Linked DNA regions of Saccharomyces cerevisiae S288C. The gene in region 2 interacts genetically with the main gene of each other region. Each region holds a gene or a part of one and is shown on either strand. Other genes may lie near its edges. The genes, in order: GCN20, GCN1, RTG3 and LAT1.

Region 1 (5,674 bases), on a different chromosome or scaffold from region 2:
TTTAATGGACTCTTCGCCAGACAAGCCACCTTTAACCATGTATTTTTGGCGGGCACTTGGGACTTGGGTCAATTCCTCTGCTTTGCTTTTCAAATCTGCTGAAGTAGCATCAGTGGAAAGTGTTATTGGGTAAACTTTACCAGAATGTCTAATATTGAACTCAAACGTTTCTCCGCTCATATTTTAACACAAGGATAGGTAGGGCTAATTTCCTTATTTTTATATCCTCTTAGAGAACGAAATCTCGTATTTCAATTGCACCAATTACTTGCAGTGGCAAAATTCGAAAAGCACTTCACCCTTCTTGTAGATTTTATGTTTTATATTAGCCACTACTTTTTTACGTAAAAAGTGATACATATACCAATGACCCAGAATGCCCAGTTAGGTCAATTAGATTCCAATACAAGTAGTCAAAAAAAAAAAGTATCATGGGGCTATGAATGCATACTTAATTTAGGCTTCTATGGAAAATATATTCTGAGGTGCTTCCTAAATAATCAATGCTTTTTAACCACACCTGCAGCATCAGCAGACTGCAAGATGTAATCTCTATAGTCGTAAATTGTACCTTCGAACCTCTTGACAGTACCTTGCTCTGAAACCCAAATCTCTTTACAAACAGAGTCAATAACAGAGATATCATGGGAAACCATTAAGACACCACCGTTGAAATTTTTCAAGGCTTCTACCAAAGCGTCTAGACCAGTGGTATCCAAATGGTTAGAAGGTTCATCCAGAACCAAAATGTGTGGATTATTTAAACACAATGCAGCGAATGCTACACGAGATTTTTGACCACCGGATAATAATTGCATCTTTTGTAGACCCAGGGTACCAGTGATACCAAATGAACCTAGATGACGTCTATACTCTTCATCAGTTTTACCTGGGAAGGATTTGGACATCCAGTCCACTGCAGACGTGGTCAAATCCATAGAATCCACATGATGTTGAGTGAAGTAGCCTATACGTAATCTTGGGTTTCTTGATACAAAGCCTTTTAGTGGTCTTAACTGCTCCATCATAATCTTCAACAGTGTAGTCTTACCACAACCATTGGCACCTACAAGGGCAATTCTGGAATCCATTTGAACGTCCAGGTTAACATCTTTCAATAATAGGTTGTTTTCATCATAACCAAAGGAAACGTCTTGCAATTGGATAATTGGTGGAGACAATTTATCACATTCAGGGAATTTGAAATCAATGGTTTTGTCTTGTTCAGGTGGCTCCAAAACGGGCAATTTTTCCAATTTCTTAATTCTTGATTGAGCTTCCTGTGATTTGGCAGCATTGTATCTGTATTTGTCAATAAACTCTTGCAAGTGCTTTCTGTAAACCATTTGGTTATCATACTCACGTTGAGCATTCTTTCTACGTTCCTCCTTTGTGGTGTAAAAGGTATCGAAATCTTGGCCTCTGTAATAGTCTAGTCTTTCGTTGTGTTGATAAATGATATCTGTAGCCACTTCATTCAAGAATGCACGGTCGTGAGAAACTGTCAAAACTGTATTTGGATATGTTTTCAAATACTCTGCTAAATAAGCGATGGATGGCACATCCAACATATTGGAAGGTTCATCTAACAACAAAAGATCTGGTTGACAGAATAAGGCTCTTGCCAAGGACAATCTCATTCTCCAACCACCGGAAAAGGAATTAGTGGGTTGTTGCTGTGCCTCCGTACTGAACCCCAAACCATATAAGATTGATGCTGCCCTAGCTTCAGCCTTGTCAGATTCCATATCGACTAATTTGTCAGAAATCTGTATCAAATGGTTATCCAAGTCTTCTCTTTCATTGTCCAATTTTTTAACTTCTAAACTGTCTTCTTCGAATTCCTGTCTTAATACATCCATTTCCTTTAATCTTTCATTGATCTTGGCTTCTTCACTTAATAGTTGTTTTCTCCAAACGTCTGCATCCAGCACACTTTGTAAAGCCTTTGTATCATCACCTCTTAACTCTTGTTCCACGTGTAAAATCGAAACATGTTTGGGGACGTTCAGCTCTCTTCTAGATAGAGCCCTTAACAAAGTAGATTTACCAATACCATTTTGGCCCACAAGACCATATCTGTGACCAAAACTTAGAGTCAATTGGGCGTTGGACAAAATTCTTTGACCGTCACCAACGTACAAGTCGAAAGTGTCAATATGGATATCCTTGGATTTACCAGCGGATGAACCGAATTCTAAAGGGTTGATTTGCAAAAAGAAAGAATCGTAATCCTCCTCCTTTTGGTCATTGATCAATTTAGAAGCCTCGTATTTAACAAATTTGTTATTTCTCTTGGCGACTTTCTTTGCGATCTTTTGTTCAGCCTTGGCCAGTTTTTTCAAATCAACTCTTGTTTCCATCTTTCTACCAGTATGTTCGATGTCACCGTTCACACCCAGCATGCTTAATGAGACGTTGATATCGGATTTACTGTTATGACTCTTTAAGACATTAATATCAAGTAATCTCTTGGACGTATCACCGGTCAATTCCAATTTGGCTTCGTTCTCCTTTAGTTGAGTAGTCAATTGCTTCAAAATACTTTCCGATAGTTCTTTAACTTTAGCCTTTGACGCACCCGCATCAATCAATAAATCGGACACAAATTGCACTTCAGTGGACAAATCTACCTGCTTACTTTGAACAGCATCAAAAGTTATTCCGGACAAGTGGTTAAAGTAGCCCACTGCGTAATCCGTGACGATAGGGTCAATACTAGAAGCAGCTTTTCTCACTTGCGAACCGATGCTTGCCATTTCAAAAAAGTTATTTACCTTTTGTGCTATGAATCGAAGTTAACGTTTTAGCGCTTCAAAACGACTAGTCTTAGCTAGCTTACTGCAGAATATATATTTCTCTTTTCAAATGTCTTTCATTTTCTACTAGATCTAATAATACGAAAAATTTTCAGGAACAAAAAAATAAAAATCAGAAAAAAAAGAAACTGCGCAAGCCCGGAATCGAACCGGGGGCCCAACGATGGCAACGTTGGATTTTACCACTAAACCACTTGCGCTTGTTTTCTTGTGAAAACTATCCTTGGATAAATCAATAATAATGTTTGTAACTTCTCTAACCAATTTGAGATGTAACGAATGATAATTAGTGTGTTGGAATAAAAATCCACTATCGTCTATCAACTAATAGTTATATTATCAATATATTATCATATACGGTGTAAAGATGATGACATAAGTTATGAGAAGCTGTCATCGAAGTTAGAGGAAGCTGAAGTGCAAGGATTGATAATGCAATAGGATAATGAAACATATAAAACGGAATGAGGAATAATCGTAATATTAGTATGTAGAAATATAGATTCCATTTCGAGGATTCCTATATCATCGAGGAGAACTTCTAGTATATCCTGTATACATAATATTATGGCCTTTATCAACAATGGAATCCCAACAATTATCTCAAAATTCGCCAAATAGTCAAGTATTATAGCCTTGATCAATAATGGGATCCAATAATTATTAAACTATTCACCCAATCTTCACAGATCTTCTAGTCAACGAGGGAAAATCCATATTTCTAAATAGTATTATTTATCCTTGCACTTCAACTTCCATTGAAGCTGATGATTGTTTCTTAATTTTCATGTTATCTTCTGGCAGCGTATATGAGATTATACTAATTATATGAAAATATATTAATAGTATAGATACTAATCGGTAAACGATAATCGACTCTCATCACAACAAAATGCTTTTGCAAATATTGAGGAAATTATATATGTTTATTAAACATATATATCCTGTGTATTTATAGAGGCTTTCCTCCAACATTTTATTATTTTTGGCAAATAATACAGTAGCTTAGGATATCTTACGCACGCAACTGCAGGAAAAGAACGTCAAGACATTCTGTGAGTTGTTTTCCCGCAAAATGTTCCACCGTCGTTACTTTTTCAATTTCATAAACATATATCAGAATGGAAAAAGCCTTCATAAATGAGCTTCGAATTTTTGCGCAATCTCGAATATAAGAAGCATGTATATTTGTCATCTTGCTTTCATTGGAAGCAAAAGGGCAAAGTTTCAATCTTGTGCATGTAACCTCAGTAGTAATCTATAAGTGTGAGATATATCTGTCAATTTTTGCAGACCATTAACATTTTCCAAATACATCTTGAACTCTTCATCTTCGAGGGGAATTGTCTCCGTCTGGAATTTCTGCCTAATCAATTTGATAGTCTCTTTATGATGCATTAGAATGTTTCCTCTTAATTGGGCGACAATGTAATTTAAAGAGTCTTCGGAGTAAGACAATAAATCCATGGATTCAAGGGTTACCTGCTTGGATTCCTGTAAACTTTTCCGGAGCATTGAATTTTGGCGCTTCAACACTCCTAGCATAACGTCATCTTTCGCATTTTCATCCAGATTGTTGCTTAGTTGCTCTTTCTCAGTAATAGGAGCTTTCCCTCTTTGTTCTAGAAATCTATTAAATAATGCAATATTTTCCGTGGTATCGTGAGGTTCTTCAGATGTCTCATACTTGTTTAAGCTTCCGGATAATATGTCTATGTTCCTTAGTATTTTCGCCTTTTCTGCTTGATTTTCCCTCAACTGTTTCACTAGCTTGTTAACTAACAAGTACATATGATTCAAGTTTTCTGCTTGAGGAGACATATATACTTGCTGCTGCTGCTGCTGCTGCTGTTGTTGTTGTTGCATTGACAAAACGTTGATTTGGTCACTCATATCTAAACCTTGGCTTGAACTTCTTGTAGAATCAATATGTATTACTTCCCATATATGTCGTAATAAAGGGCACCTCTGCAGAGTTCATAAAGAATGCCGTTTTTGCTTGCGCGCCTTAATTATCTGTATTCAGTTCGATTTTACAAAAATATATACAAGGTTCCGCCTAACCTTCTAGTCGTTGCGGATATGGACGATATTATCTACCTTAATTAAATGATTATCTATATCCCTGCCATTCAACAAATCATTGCTGCGAAACTTCTCTCGTCCTTCTGCAATAGTCGTGACTAACCCTGATTGCAAATGCCTTTTGGCCACCCTTTCTTCGGTGGCCTCATAGTCTATGTCAATCTTATAAACAAGAAGTGCTCCCGTATCAGCTAATGTTTTGTAAATTTTCTTCCAGTTTTCTTGGTCATACAGTAGGTATAACCCTTCAAGTATAACTATCCTTGTAAATTTGGAAATACAGTACTGATCTGGAGTTGGGTCTTTTAGTGCATGGTTAAATCCTGGAACAAAGATATCAGGAATTGTTTGGCTAAAAGTTTTGGATAACTTCTCAAAAACGCTTGAAGTGGAGTAAAATTTATGATGTGAGGAGACCTTACATAGGGACGTCTTGGCTAGAATTTTACACAATTGTAAGAAATTGTTACTGTCAAACGTTGAGGGCGAACCTCTTCTTTTATGGGCAGTTTGTGGGTCTTTGAATAGGTCTAGACATCTGCGAGATAAGTGAAAACCATCCATTGGGACTATTTGCGCTATATTGATACTATCCTGGGCCAACTTGTTAACATTGACTGGATTATCAACTGCTGCGATTCTTATGGCATTCGCAGTACCACCTCTGGCAACTACTGCGGTACATTCTTCATTATTTGATGTAAGGGCTGAGTACTTGACTGGTTGAAAATTAACATCCTCAACATGATCTTTAAACAGCCCCTGATTTT
Region 2 (6,159 bases):
ACTAGACCTCCATCATCGACCAAAAATTTTATAATGTTAACGACAGTATCATCCTCTGCAGAAAAAGCCTTAGCCATGATTTTTAATGTAATAGCAACGGTACTTCTTCCTTGCCATGGATCTTTTTGTTCACTCGCAGAAACAAGAACCAAGCCAAATTGATCAAGAATTGGCTCCAATGGCTTTGCCTTTTCTTTATAAAAGTTCAGCAAATCATTTAAGTAATCTTTCGAGGAGTTCTCTTCAGAGGTAAACAGACTTACCGCACCAAATGCGTACGCGTTTGCCGCAAATAATCTCAAGCCACTATCATCCTGATTGAATAGTGGGAATAAGCTTTTTAGTAATTCATCGTTGACTACAAATTTGTTGAACTCCCAAATGAAATCTGCAATCTCGCGGTTGGAAGGATCCGAATCAAATCTGCAAATGAAAACTTCAGGTGAATATTTCATAAAAGGTTCTAATTCGAATTCGTTATCAAGAGTTTCTAATATTGTTGAACGGACAAATTGATTTGGTGATAGTAAATTTGATAGTATCATATCAAGGTCTTCTTGATTTGGTGCAACAGATATGCTTTGGCACAGAGCGTTGAAACAATCTTTAGCAATCTTCGCTTTTGAGGGTAAAGATAGAAGAGATAGTAACACTTCAACAATGGAAATTCTCGGAATGGAAGGATCCTCAAAAGCTTCAGCGTGTACAGAAATAATTTCCATGGCCAGTAACAGATGTTCTTCTTCTTCATCTTCTTCAACAAACTCAGCCTTAACAACAGGCTTGTCCGCATTCTTTAATGCAATCGCCTTACCCTTTTCTAAAACATTAATCAACAATGGTAAAATATATGTCAAACTGATGGAATCTATTGCTGCTTGGTTGGAGACGAACTTGATCCTAAAAAGAACTCTTGTAAGTAATTCAACCAGTGGTTCTTGTAAATAATCTTGCGAGATGCCATTAGCATTGTGCACACGCAAAGTCGCCAAACCTAAGAAAAGTCTGATATTACCTAATCTCTCGGAGACATTTTGAGAAAGCTGCAAGAACACATTATTTACATCCTCTGTTAGCTTTGAAATATTTGGTTCCGAGCATAGGTACAAAAGCTTTGTGACTGCCAAGGGGAACCAAGTAGCGATGCCATTTTGGACTAAGCAAGCAGCTTTGGAAAGTTCAGATACCAATCTAATACCACGCTTTAAACGAGTGGAAATTTCCGAAACGTGTGATCTAACTGCAGATTCTTTCGCTAACTGTTCATTAACGAGCTCTTGTTCCTCTTTTGAAAGTTTTTTCACATTCTTTTTGGCTTGCTCCTTCCTTATTTTTTGTTCCCACATTAGAGTTTCGTACTCTTTAGAATTTTTATTGGAAAGTTTCTTATTCATGCTTTCTTCCAGGACGTCAACCACCAGAACACCTTCCTCTCCTGCAAAAATTTCGAAGTCCTCTTCAGATAAACGTGAGAAATCATCCGCGGTTAAATCTGCTTCGATAGTCTTACAAAGGATCGGTGTGAACTCATTAGGCTGAATAAATGCTGCATAGGCAGCTGCTTGCAAACCGCATGCACCATAAATTGTATCTATCCATTCACAACTACCTGTGATTTCAAGAATCTTCTCCATGATAACGCTAGCATGTTCTTTGACAACTTCAGCTGGATCAAGCCTTGCACGTAAAACTAAACCAGCCCAGCCATTCTTAATGTTGAAAATATTCCATTGCGCTATGACCAGAGCATTGATTAATACCTTTATCGAGGCTTCCTTGTCAGGTAACTCAGACGTAATGGCCAGTAGTACAGAAGTGACATATTTAAAGGATGTATTTTGTTGAGGTATTAATTCTTGGACACGCATTCTCCTTTCAATTGCATCAATCACGCTAAACCCAATAAATTCGGGTTTCTTGTAGAACAATTCTTGTAGTAAATTAACAGCATGAATACGGTTTTCGATGGATAGCTCTGTTGATAATGCAGCAGTTAAGATAGCATCACCTATCGAAGAATTTTCAGGAAGGGTTTCTATGAGCTGCATAACACGATCATTTAGCTCAGTATTGTCCAATGCCAAAATTTTGTTTGTAAATTCAATTGATGCTAGAATACATGCATGCCCGTGAGTCTGATAATGTATGATGGAGTCTTTCACAAATTCCAAACAACCGTCTATAAAGTTTAAAATCACCTCTTCAGAGGCAGCATTGGAATTGTTCAAAAATGCGGCAAACCAGCATTTTTTCAAAGCAGGTTTTTTATCTGCAAAACCAGCTGATATAATTTTATCCAAGTCTTCAATAGGTTTGCCCAGACTAAAATAATGAACAAAAAAAGCGTTAAGCATTAGAGTCAAGGCTGCTTCATTACCTTCTTTACCAATATATGGGGACAGCCCTTTGCAGATTTTTTCTGAAACCTCATAGTGCGTTAAGGGTATTTCTATGAGAATTTTGGAAATAAGTGATTTGTAATCTGCATTTAAGTTCGATTTGATGTTCTTAAATATTTCGTCAATAAGCTTGGTCAAATCTTCCAAGGTAGTGTCAGTATTGGAAATTTTTCTCAATAAGATTATCATAGACTGAAGCGAGACGGATCTAACTACCTCTTTTGAGCTTTTAAATGACGAGAAGTATTGATTAATCAGTTTCGAGGAAGCAAAGGCATTTAAGAGATTTACTTTTTCAGGAGAAACACCAGCATATAACTCAGATAAAATCGAAAAACCAACCTCAGGAGATCTTAAAACTGCTTTTTCAATATTAGGGATGAAAAACTTAATGAATAACTCTTGTGAAACAAATTCTTTTAAAAATGGCTTCAAACCAATCTCTAAGCAAAAGGAAGATGGTGGGTTTTTGCCTAAAAACACTTCTTTGCCCAAATATTCGCAATATTTCTCTGCAGAATTTTCCTTTAAAACGGAGTGCAGAGCTGGTTGCCTCGATAATAACTGAAGTGCAGCCTGAGTTAGTGCACCCATTATCATAACTACTCCAACACTGGTTATCTTCAGCTTAGAGTAGCTCTCCAGTACAGTTTTAATTGAAATCTTCATGAAGGAAATACTGTCGTCATTATCCTTCAAGCACTTAAGGAATGCTTTGACCGTTGTTTGGAAAATGCAATAACGAATTCTCTTTCTATGCTGGTTCTGCTTATCTTGGGATTTCTTGCCTTCTTCTTGATTGTCAAGAATAGTTTCCACACCGAACGTTGCATAAGAATGGGCGACCAACAATTTTGGAATGTACTCTTCAAATAAATTAGAATTATGCGACACAAAAATCAAGAAAGAATTAATCCAATCTAACAAATTAAGGTAATCAGCGACTGCTTTGGTAGCCGGATTACTGATGACCACGTCGGAAATGAATCGGATAAAGTTTTCTAGGAGACATGGCTCTAGATTTAAGATGTCAAGCAATATTGAAGTTACCAAACTTTTAGACCTATTGTCTTCGTAAATCGTGAAGGTATTCAATAAAACGAAAGCAATTTCAGATAATTGAGGTTTTTCCAATGTTTCTTGACGAACTAATTGTGATATATCTTGCAAAAAGGGAACTCTTTTAGACACGTGTGATTCGCGGGTGCCTTTCTCTAAAACAGGGGATATATCTTCCCAGTTTAAGATAGCTGTCATCACTGTAGGAGTTATTGGTGTCAGTCAGAGCTTTGTTTGTCTTAATGATCTACTTCAGGTTTAATAAGTACAACTCAAAGATCTTTTCGAAGGTTTAAATTATTCAAATTTTTCATTCGTACGTAACGACTTTATTGAGAAGCTCAATGACGGTAGTTGAAATTTCATAGCATTATATCAACAAATAAATCTGTATTACAATTACCAGCTCGCAGGTAATGCGGAAGCTTAACAAGAGGGTGTTTAGACCAACCTGTGTACAACCTTACTCTTAGTTACTATTTATAAATAGATACACAATTACATAGACACAGAGATGCTTTGATGAGAGTGATAACCAACGACAAAAGAGAGCTTACCATTTCTGAAAAGGTAACCAAACATCGTTGACAATGCCTTCGCTGTTTACCACGAAATAATATGGAAATTGTCCCATTGTGATACAAGCGTGTTGAGGAAGGACGGCAATTTTGCTGCCTAATTTTAATGGAGTAGTTTCGTTCCAGTTTCTTATTGGCCTCAGTATCCCGTGTTCTTGAGAGACCCTTGCTACATACCATTCCCTACTGAAACTCTCGGATTTTAACACATGTTCCAAATCAGCACATATTCCAAACCCTTTTATTGAGGATGCTTCTCGCGTTAGACACATTACACCTGTATTACTCAACAATTCACCTCTAGAAGGGTAAGATGATAGTACTGTTCCTAATACAAAACCAGACAATTCGTGATCTTGGACACAGCCTGTTGCCACCTGTTGCAGGTCATACATGCAGTAATTACCGCAGTGGATTTCAAGCGTACTAACTAATTGAGTAGTAATGAATTTAACAAGGGTACTTTTATTATCGAGTTTCAAAGAATTGGAAGTCGGAGTAGCGCCCACAGAAAGTGTTAATTTAGAAGGATCAAACTGAGGATCCACAGAGCACAAAACTTTAGCGGCAGAATTGACTGCTTTCACTTCTTCCATCAAAAGATTCTGAGTGTCGTTGATCGAGGTTGAAGAGTAGCTGTGTCCGGCATGAGCATAAAACCCATATGGCTCAATTACTTCTTTAATTTCTGAGGAAGTCAGTTTTTTTAAAAGACTCAAAAATTCTGGAGAGTCGAAAGCAAGACCTGCCCTCTTAGTCCCCATATCAACCTTGATAAAAACCGACCATTTCTTGCCGGAAGCAGGCCTACCGAAATTCTTTAAATTCTCCAAGTGTTCAATGTTATCAACAAAAACCTGAAAATTATTCACCCTTCTTGACAAATTGCTCAAAAGAGGAATAAACTCTGGAACGCAACAGGGTAAACTATATGTTATATCGTCAATATAATCCGAACATTGTCTATCTTGATAATTAAGAAGTTCTTCTGCTTCTTTCAAAGTTGATACTAATATGGCTCTTGTAGTGCGTTTAGCCAATGGAAGTCCGTGGCCCAATTGTTTCAAAGTTCCCTTTGCTGTCTTATGCGTTTTTACGTGTGCACGAAATTTGATTGGTACGCCACATTCCTGGCTGAGCTTTTCAACGTTGTTCAACATTGTCGTACAATTCTTATCAAATTTTTCTTCATTAATAACGAAATTGGGTGTGGGTAAATCTCTGACTGAGCACCCTTTATATTGAGATAGAACATCGCTCATTTCAAACTCTTCTTAGGAGCAATATTATACTTCCTTATCAAGAAATGAAGTATTTATGTGCACTTAATTCCCTTTCGTGTTGAATAAAATTGACAGTAAATAGTGGAAAGAAATCTTTTCACTCAAAAGCTTTATATATGTACACATATTGTTGTTCCATGGTTTTGAGAGATATTTTAACTCCGTCTTATCACTCTCCGACGGATTCGGCCCGATGTAAAAATTGTATTGCTAGTTATGTTCCGACATTTGGTTATGCTATATCGTGGGATGTATTCAATTTTCGTGTTATGATTAGTCTGTGCCTCATTATCTGAATTTGAATTGTCCTGAGCTGACCTGGTCTGCCCGCTTCGATAAACTGCAAATACAGGAACCAGATAACCTTATCAGAAAGTCAATAGTAGACGAAATACTAGTGTGCGGAAACTAGTATGATACAAGATGTTGTCTTATCAACGAATACAGCAAATGCAACCTATACTAATAACTTACATAGTCATATTCACCGGGTAATTTCGGTTGAATCTGTTCACAAAGCAATATTTCATAAGCAATAAACCTTTGCAATGAGTAGCTTTTTGGTGCCAACTGTTTTGATAGCAAAGAAACAGAAAAGTGGCGCCCATATGGAAGCAATCCGTTTTGAGATGTATAGCAGCATATTCTTGGATTATTAAGAACTTTATATGTGCGAGTAACTATCCTGGGACGTAGCGGTCTATGGTGACGGTTTAGAGATGCCTTTCAATTTCGAAATATCTTCCATAGTTTTTTTCTTGAGCGCTCGTAAATTTTTAGATAATTCAATGCAATCCATGCAACGAACCATTAGTCTGATATCGTTCACTAACACAGTGG
Region 3 (4,975 bases), on a different chromosome or scaffold from region 2:
CTATATTTTCCGCCTGAGCTGCCTTACCACCGCTGGCATTTGTCATAGAAGTCTCGTTATTGGCATTTAAGCCCACTGGCGCATGGCTCGCTGGCGATGAGGAATTTTGTCCAGAGATATTAAAAATCCTTAAATATCCATTCTTTTCACCAACTCCAATCATACCAATTTCTGATTCTGAATAGTCTAAGCAGGTGATACTGCCGAAGTCTTTCACAGTGTGTAATTTAATAATTGATTCATCAGATTCATTTTCCGGATCCACTTTATAGTGGGTCACTTCATCTCTTGTAGGGTTCACTGAAAGATAATCAATCAAATTATCATATGACCAATGGGTCACTTTTTTGATGAGACCCATGTTTATTCTTCTATACGTTCGTGATACTGCACTTACGACTACCAGTAACATCAGAATAACCATAGAGCTTATGCTATCTTGAAATATATCATCGCCGTAAAGTATGATGTGTAGCGCATTAGTCTTCTGCATTCATATTATCAGTGGTATACCGTTTGGTATATGCTTTCCAATCATGAAGTGTTGGCTCTACTCTATATAAATTCGACATCCATTGATTTTCTCAATAAATGAGTTACCCAAGTAAGCTTTCCATTGATACAAGTGATCTACATTCTTGCGACGCCAAATTATAAAGCACTAAAAATCATATCATACCCAATTGCGGGCAGCACATGTATATATTATACACTACTTATAACTAACCTTCTTCATATATAACAATATGCCTGATAATACTAATGCATTTAAATCATATCATGAAAGAAAATTACATGGGTTTTATTGACATAATTGCATTTAGAATACATAAAATTCTAAAGAATTAATATATCCAAAGTATTAGACATAACCAAGAATAATAGTGAATAATTTTAGATTTTGTTACATATAATTCTGCTTGCCTATCTCTTCCACTCTTTTCAAAACGTTGCATGTAAGCGTTACTAATATTCCGCTTTATTTTGTTGCAATTCCTAATTTTTTCATTACATTATCTTGCGAGTACGGAAGCGATTAACGTTCTCCCAATAGAAGGAACAAACATAGATATTGAAGTTTTACTGCTTTTGCTTACCTGACCTTTTTCAAATTTAATTTTTTCCCGCTAATAAGACCATAAACTACCCCGAACCAAATTCTAAAAGATAGTCAGCTGGATTAGAGTTGTCATCTCCAAACATTAATTTTGCATTATCTTCGGCTTCAATCAAATCGCCTGATAAGAACTCCTTTAATTCTTCATGAATGTTTGTATGTGGATGACTCTCCATAGTGCCAGCATGATTGTGGTTACCGACCGAATCATATAACGGTGGCTCCCAATTGTGCAATTCAGCCTTACTATTTTGTTCATTCATCAAAGCATTTGGGACAGATCTAATATCTATAATTCTTTCCTCACTATTCTCGCTATTATTTTGCCCCGAACTGGCATGGTGGTTATTGGTAAAAGGAGATAATGCTGCGACAGAACTTTTCTTCTCTTCCAATTCTTTTATCTTCGCCAATAACGCCTTCTTTTTTCGTGCTTGTATTTCTAAAATTTCGGCCAGGTATTGTAAATATTCGACCGTTCTATCCAAAATGATACCCTTATTTGGTTTGATTTGTTTACCTAGGTCATCGTAATTCAATAAAGATGGTGGAACCAACTGGCCGAGTTCTTTTATCTTTTGCTTTATTAATTCTCTTCTTCTCCTTTCGACGGCATTATGAAACTCTCTTTTGCGCCTCAGTTTCTCATCAGAAGTTAACCCGCCTAAAATCTTTGGAACACTTCCAGGTCCTATATTTTCAGTCATATTGCTACTTATTGAAGTGTGTCTTGTTCTGGGTGTGTTTATGCTACCATGCCTAAAAGAAGATGAAAGGAAACTTCCTGCACGAAATGACGATGATGGTGATCTTACCTTTGGGGAATATGTGGAAGATACGGATGCTGGGCCCAAGCTTTGTGGATTATAAGAAAATGATGATGAATATGTGTTTGGTGTCATCATATCAGAATTGATGCTAGAAGATAAAGAGGAGCTCAAATCATCAGTTAAGTTATACATTGTGTCATCGGTGCCATGCTGAAATAAAAAGTCATGTGGTAACTCAGCTTTTAAGCCTTCTTGTTGCTGTAATGGAGTATTCATTGCTCTATCCACAGGTGAGTCGTAAGCCATAGAATAAGATGATCTCAAGGGACCCTGCCCTATGGAAGATATGGAATTTTGAGTGACAGGTCTACCGCCTTGGCTTGTTCTAAACATATCATCCAGGTAAGACGATTGCGATTCTGCTTCCTCATATATGGTCGAAGCTGTAGGAGTTTGTGAATTGGACCTCGCTTGACTGCCCATTAAGTTATTATTATCGTTAGAGTTGTGCGTATTGATGTATGAGAGTTTTTCATGCTGTTGGGCAGGAGTCTCACCACCTGGGTAGGCACTTCCGTGTATCTTGTAATCATCATTGTGGTGTGGAGTGGGTGTCACTAACGAAAAATCTAAAGTTTCCTGGAGGACTTTTGTCTGGTTCATTAATTCGTCCAGTAGACGTTGGTTCTCAGCCTCACTTTCGTTATTGTTCATCATTCTTCACTTATTTAAGAAGTAGGTTCGCCTGACAAAAAATAAGAGTATTCTATTAAAGGATACTTGTCAACTAAGTAATGTGAATGCAGTAATGTCGTTTTTGTTATCTTATATATGCTCACGTAAGACAGAAATTCGGATTGTGAAAAATTCCTTGATGATTCCGTGCAGCCTCTAGCCAAAATAGCAACTGCGAGTAAAAAATAATGTACTAACCTGCAGTAATATTGGAGATCCTACTGTCCGGACCGAGTAGTACAATTGTTAGTTTCTGTTGCTCATAAGAAGGCTTTTCTAATCACCATGGCTTTATTATTTCAAAAGTAACTTGCGAAGAGTCACATCCCGCGGAACGGCCCGCAATCGTGACCCGGCAAAAGGCGATTGTAATGAAGAGGGAGTATTGGTCAAGACTTGTACTATACTGAAATAGGAAGAAGATTGAATAAATTTGCATTCTAATTGCGTTCGGTAGTTTAGAGTAGGACTTAGATTACCTGTATTGTCTGCAGTTGCGTTTTTTTTTTTTGCTGGTAAAAAAAAAGAACAAGTGTGGAGAATATGAGCGAGGAACCACCTTCTGACCAGGTCAATAGTCTCCGTGACTCATTGAATCGATGGAATCAAACAAGACAGCAGAACTCGCAGGGTTTTAATGAATCTGCGAAGACATTGTTCTCAAGCTGGGCGGATTCTCTCAATACCAGGGCCCAGGATATATATCAGACGTTGCCTGTATCTAGACAGGACTTGGTGCAAGACCAGGAGCCGTCGTGGTTCCAATTGTCAAGAACGGAAAGAATGGTACTTTTTGTCTGTTTTCTTTTGGGTGCAACAGCCTGTTTCACTCTTTGTACTTTCCTTTTCCCCGTTCTAGCCGCTAAACCAAGAAAGTTTGGTTTACTATGGACAATGGGGTCCCTACTATTTGTTCTTGCGTTTGGGGTACTTATGGGACCACTCGCGTACTTAAAACATTTGACTGCAAGGGAAAGGCTGCCTTTTTCGATGTTCTTTTTCGCCACATGCTTCATGACGATTTATTTCGCAGCCTTTTCCAAGAACACGGTGCTGACTATTACATGTGCTCTTCTTGAATTAGTTGCCGTCATTTATTATGCTATTTCATATTTCCCATTCGGTGCAACAGGTTTGAGGATGTTAAGCTCTGCTGGTGTCAATTCGGCAAGAGGTGTTCTGCGCATCTGAATTATCATTCATAGTGCATATTGAATTGATTAGTTGAAGAAGAAAAATAATGTTTATGTTATAAGAAACAATAATAAAGAGATTTATAACCTAACCTAATTAAATAGCATGTAGTCAACAAAAAGGGAGTAAAACATGCAGTGGCTCTATATATATAATTATCGTAGAATAATTCAAAAAAAAATAAAAAACGAAAAAATTCATTCTTCATCACTCATCAAAGGCACTATTTCGTCATAACGCGGAGGCTCGTTACCATGAGAGAGTAGCGAATCTGCGGAGCTCGAACTTACTATTCCTTCTTGTTCTTCATCATCTTTTACATTCGCTAAAGTGTAACCCTTTTTGAAAAATTCGTTCTGTTTGTCCTTAGAGTTTTCAGTGGTAGCGTTTGGAATCCTCACAGTACCATTTGCTTGTGATAAGCCATTTGTTGGTGATGAATTGTGAGATCTATTGACGGGCGATGGAGTGCTCAATAATTTATCGAGATTATTGAATCTTGACCTGTCATTCACTGACGTTGCTCTTGCTCTAGCAACACCTTGGCCACTATTGCCCGAAACAAATGCGGAATTCGAAATACTGCCGTTCATGGCATTGGCATTTGAAATACTGTTCCGATTAACATTTGGCACACCGGCATCATCGCTGTATCCGGATGGCCCACTAACTGACGTAGTTCTTGATAAGTTCAATTGTTGAATAGATAGTAAATCAGGGTCATACGAGGCCATGATATTAGGTGATCCCATCGGTGAGACAATGGGAGAAGCTGGAACGGATATGGCTTCTTCAAAAGTTGGCGGAGGTGGACATGTGTTACCAAAAAAGTCGCTGTTCATACTTAGAGGAACCTGGTTGCCTTTGCCTTCCATTGTGGCCATATCATAAGTGGGTAACTCCATATTACCACTGTTGCACTGTTCAGACACCAGGAATATGGGCGTATCGATTAGAACCTCATAATGTCTTAATTTGGACGGACACTCAGGATCAGGTTTACTGATTCGTAGCATAATTTCCAGCTTATGTCTACAGTAAACATTACTGAAGTGTAAACTATCCAAGTACAAGCCTCTTTTCGGTGTGTTTAATCTGGTATGTGTTTTCACGGGCAAACCAGAATTGGATTTGATTATTGTTTGATGGAATTTTGGAT
Region 4 (3,739 bases), on a different chromosome or scaffold from region 2:
CAAATGGGATCCAGCCATAATGTGCTACATTATGAGTCAAAGTTAAAATTTTGGAAATACGTTCTTTAGATTCATCGCTTAAGATAAAAGATGGTAGGAAACTCATGGTTTATTTGTTAAAAGCTAATTTTGGCAAATATTGAGAGATAAGAGGGAACTAGTTTCTTTCACCGAACAATAATATACGAAAGTAGTATGCTAAACTTTATGCGTTATATCCTATATCCCACTCCTTTGTTAATTTCAACCAATTCCACATGAGGTGAAAAAACAAAGATGTTGACGCACCGTTTGACGTGATTTATTTATATCATTTTGAGACAGAAGAGAGAGAGGATTTAGATTCGAAGACAAGCGAAGTATTTCAGTATAATGTATACGTATTTGAGTATTTGAGTATTTTTTTTTTTTTTTTTTTAATTTTTTATATATACAAAATAACAAATTGATATTTTCTCCAAGATACGCATTTACTGGCGAATTTTATTTTCATTCTAACCTCACAATAGCATTTCCAAAGGATTTTCAATAACAGTTTTCAATTCCTTCATGAATTCTGCACCTTTGGCGCCATCAATGGTTCTATGATCAAAGGTCCCTGTTATGGTAACCTGGTTATCAAAGGAGAATCCGTTCTCAGCAGCGGCGTCTTCCACAGCGACCCTTTCAACAGTAGCGATGGCCAAGATTGTAGACTGTGGTGGGTTGATAATCGAAGTAAACATGTTAACAGCATTATTCATGCCCATATTGGATATGCAAATGGTCCCACCTTGGAATTCCTCTGGTGCCAATTTGTTTATTCTGGCACGCTTGACTAGTTCCTTGATTTCGTTAGAGATTTGCGACAAGCCCTTGGCCTCACAATTCTTGACAATTGGTGTCAATAATCCTGTTGGTGTGGCAACAGCGACTGAGACATCGACATTCTTGAATTTACGGATAACGTTCTCATTAGGTAACCAGTAGGCATTGGCATCTGGCACCCTCTTAGCCGCAACAGTGATGGCTTTTACTAATAGGTCATTAATGGACAGTTTGTACTTGTCGTTTGCTGTAGCGTTCAAGGACTGTCTCAATTTCAAAAGTTTGGAGATGGATATCTTGGAGGAAACGATGTATGATGGAATGCCTTGAGTAGATTGCAATAAACGTTCTCCAATGATGCTTCTCATGGTTGAAATTGGAACATCCTCATATGATGCTGTAGAAGAAGGCGATGGAGCAGAGCCAGCAGTAGTGCTTGAGGTAGCGGCGGCAGGAGTGGCGGCGGCAGCACCACTGGTTTGAGAAGACTGCTTAGACGACTTTTCTAGATATGACTCAATGTCAGCCTTGGTAATTCTACCGCGGGGTCCAGTGCCGTGAACATCCTTCAAAGAAATACCCTTTTCCAAGGCGATAGTCTTGGCAAGTGGAGAGGCAAAAATCCTACCTTGAGGAGCAGCAACGTCAGATTTCTTAGCTTCAGGTGCAGAAGTCTTGGTCTCTTCAGCTGGCGCTTCTTGTTTCTTTTCTGCCTGTGGTTCGGCAGGCTGAGCCTTCGTACTGGTCTTTGAATCAGAACCTGAATCCTCCAGCTTAAAGTCCTTAAAAGCTGGCACATCAGCTTTGTCCTCCACATAGACGGCAATAGGCTTGTTGACAGGAATGTCCTTTGTACCTTCAGGAACTAGAATCTTGGCTAAGTAACCATCTTCTTGGAACTCAAAGTCCATTTGAGCCTTGTCTGTTTCTATTTCGGCAATAACTTCACCGGGAGACAATTGGTCACCTTCCTTCTTAGTCCAAGCAGCAAGATTACCTTGCGTCATCGTAGGAGACAGTGCCGGCATACCAATAATGGTGTGCTCTGGGTACGATGCGTAGCATCTCAATTGCAGTCTCAATGATCTGGTGAGTACTGAACTTCTGGATATTCTTGGAACCACCCTGACAAAGGCAGACATAGTACGCTAATAACTATTAATTTTACTGGATGCAGTTTACAGCAATGGAAGATGTTGAGCGTGAACAAACAGGAAACGTAACAGCCTCTCTTCTAGTCGTTCCGGTTGGTTGTCTCGACCTCTTGTTGTTCTTTGCGTAACACGGGGGGTGAGAAGGGCCGGTCACGCTTCACGGATAGTAGAAACGGCAAAGCATAGTAGCAGATGACTTGTATGAGTTATTGAAGTTATGACATATGTAGTATTACATGAAGATATATAGTATGTGCAAACTGGAGGTGATCACCGGTACCAATTATCTAGGGTTCTCAGCCTCTTCCTTCTAACAGGCTTAGCGACCATCTGGAGCTGCAATTGCTTGGTTTTTTGTGCGGCGTTCTTCCTGCTGTCCATATATTGTTCTTCCCACTTGATAGGGATACTATTCTTACTGGCGTCATCTAACAGAGTCTGGCATGTCTGCCATGAGAATCTTACCATGTTGGCGGGCCAGCCCATAAGACTTGTCTGGTTGCGCTTCAGCCATGCGACTGTCTTCGGGTCGGAGGGGTATCCAGAACCCAGGATCTCATCGGGATCCCTCTTCAAGGATTCGACTAGTATATCTCTGGTCACTTTTGCAACGACACTCGCCACACTGACCATGCAGTAGAGCGAGTCTGCCTTCTTGGCGACCGTAAACTTGACACCAGGAAATCGTTGCTCCAGTTTCTTCTGATAGGACGCTGGTGGTCCAACAGTATCCACATACACGTGACTGAGCTTCACGTTCTGCTTTATCACGCCATCAATGAGTGCCATTGTGACATCGTGCGCCTGCTCATTCAAGTTATAGTTTCTCGTCGGTGGGAACTTGCTCATTCCTCTAGAGATATCCAACGGAGTGATGCACGTAGTTGCGTAGCCGATCTGGGTTAGTTCTTCGTTGTCCTGGTATATCTTGGAAAACAGCATTCTTCTGATGGGATCTGTAAGTTTTTTAGAGTCGTCAAACTCGTAGTTAGGGATTATAGTTTCGTCCTGATATTTCTGTGTAGAATAGGCTACTGCGTAGACCATTGGCCCTAATACGGGCCCTCTGCCAGCTTCATCGATACCCATTATTATTGGAGAGTCATTCTGTTCCAAGAGCGCGCTTGGGACAGGTGAAAAGTACGACTTAGTGTAAGGAGACTCCAAGGATGCTTCTACCGTGGGGGGTACCATTTAATCGTATCAATTTGGTGTGCAGTAGTTGTTTTCAAGGTTTTTCGACACTCTCATTAGCTATAACTGAATATTTATATTGGATTTTTCGCGTAGCGTAGTTTATTGGTGTAGAGAAAAAAAAAAAATTAAATGCCATTCTAATTATTTACAGTATATGTCTGATTTATTTACAAAAGCATTGGCAGGCGTCGCAAAATTTACTGCCTGTTTACATCATCCACACAGCCAAAGGGCAGAACCTCTTCTATCCTCTTCTTGTCGCAAAATAGCATGCACAATCTATCTATGCCAAGGCCAAAGCCACCTACTGGAGGCATACCGTATTTCATCGTCTCAACATACTGGTAGTCAATAACAGGCGATAAGGTCTCAGTTTTGTTTCCTGTCAATTCGTTAATCTGCTTTTGTTGTAGAAACTTCTGCAGTTGTAATTGGGGGCAATTTTCCTCTTCGTAAGCATTGATGTATTCCTTACCTTTGATGAAGACTTCGAATCTCTTCGTGACTTGCTTATTTTGCGGATCCGTCTTGGCTAAGGGCGATAATATTGCAGGTTGATGGTATATTACCGTAGGCAAGGT

What was found.
Region 1: mutations in GCN1 (region 2) and GCN20 together harm fitness less than expected from each alone (positive genetic interaction), as found in Saccharomyces cerevisiae (3 studies listed by BioGRID, with this or other methods).
Region 3: mutations in GCN1 (region 2) and RTG3 together harm fitness more than expected from each alone (negative genetic interaction), as found in Saccharomyces cerevisiae (3 studies listed by BioGRID).
Region 4: mutations in GCN1 (region 2) and LAT1 together harm fitness more than expected from each alone (negative genetic interaction), as found in Saccharomyces cerevisiae (3 studies listed by BioGRID).

The regions. Positions count from the first base shown.
Region 1 is NC_001138.5:159,573-165,246, reverse strand, and holds GCN20 (putative AAA family ATPase GCN20), read right to left. Parts: upstream 2,760-5,674; coding exon 501-2,759; downstream 1-500. Other genes in the region: ubiquitin-specific protease UBP6, read right to left, coding at 1-180; FAR7 (Far7p), read right to left, coding at 4,047-4,712; YFH7 (Yfh7p), read right to left, coding at 4,887-5,674. UniProt on the Saccharomyces cerevisiae protein: Acts as a positive activator of the GCN2 protein kinase activity in response to in response to low amino acid, carbon, or purine availability.
Region 2 is NC_001139.9:129,022-135,180, reverse strand, and holds the start of GCN1 (Gcn1p), read right to left. Parts: upstream 3,657-6,159; coding exon 1-3,656. Other genes in the region: D-serine ammonia-lyase DSD1, read right to left, coding at 4,012-5,298; MDS3 (Mds3p), read right to left, coding at 6,020-6,159. UniProt on the Saccharomyces cerevisiae protein: Ribosome collision sensor that activates a translation quality control pathway when a ribosome has stalled during translation. Directly binds to the ribosome and acts as a sentinel for colliding ribosomes.
Region 3 is NC_001134.8:20,933-25,907, forward strand, and holds RTG3 (Rtg3p), read right to left. Parts: upstream 2,605-4,975; coding exon 1,144-2,604; downstream 1-1,143. Other genes in the region: SEA4 (Sea4p), read right to left, coding at 1-361; SFT2 (Sft2p), read left to right, coding at 3,166-3,813; ECM21 (Ecm21p), read right to left, coding at 4,014-4,975. UniProt on the Saccharomyces cerevisiae protein: Transcription factor that regulates CIT2 gene expression. Binds to two identical sites oriented as inverted repeats 28 bp apart in a regulatory upstream activation sequence element (UASR) in the CIT2 promoter. The core binding site is 5'-GGTCAC-3'.
Region 4 is NC_001146.8:489,733-493,471, reverse strand, and holds LAT1 (dihydrolipoyllysine-residue acetyltransferase), read right to left. Parts: upstream 1,950-3,739; coding exon 501-1,949; downstream 1-500. Other genes in the region: TOM7 (Tom7p), read right to left, coding at 1-106; ribonuclease H2 catalytic subunit RNH201, read right to left, coding at 2,232-3,155; lysine--tRNA ligase MSK1, read right to left, coding at 3,356-3,739. UniProt on the Saccharomyces cerevisiae protein: The pyruvate dehydrogenase complex catalyzes the overall conversion of pyruvate to acetyl-CoA and CO(2).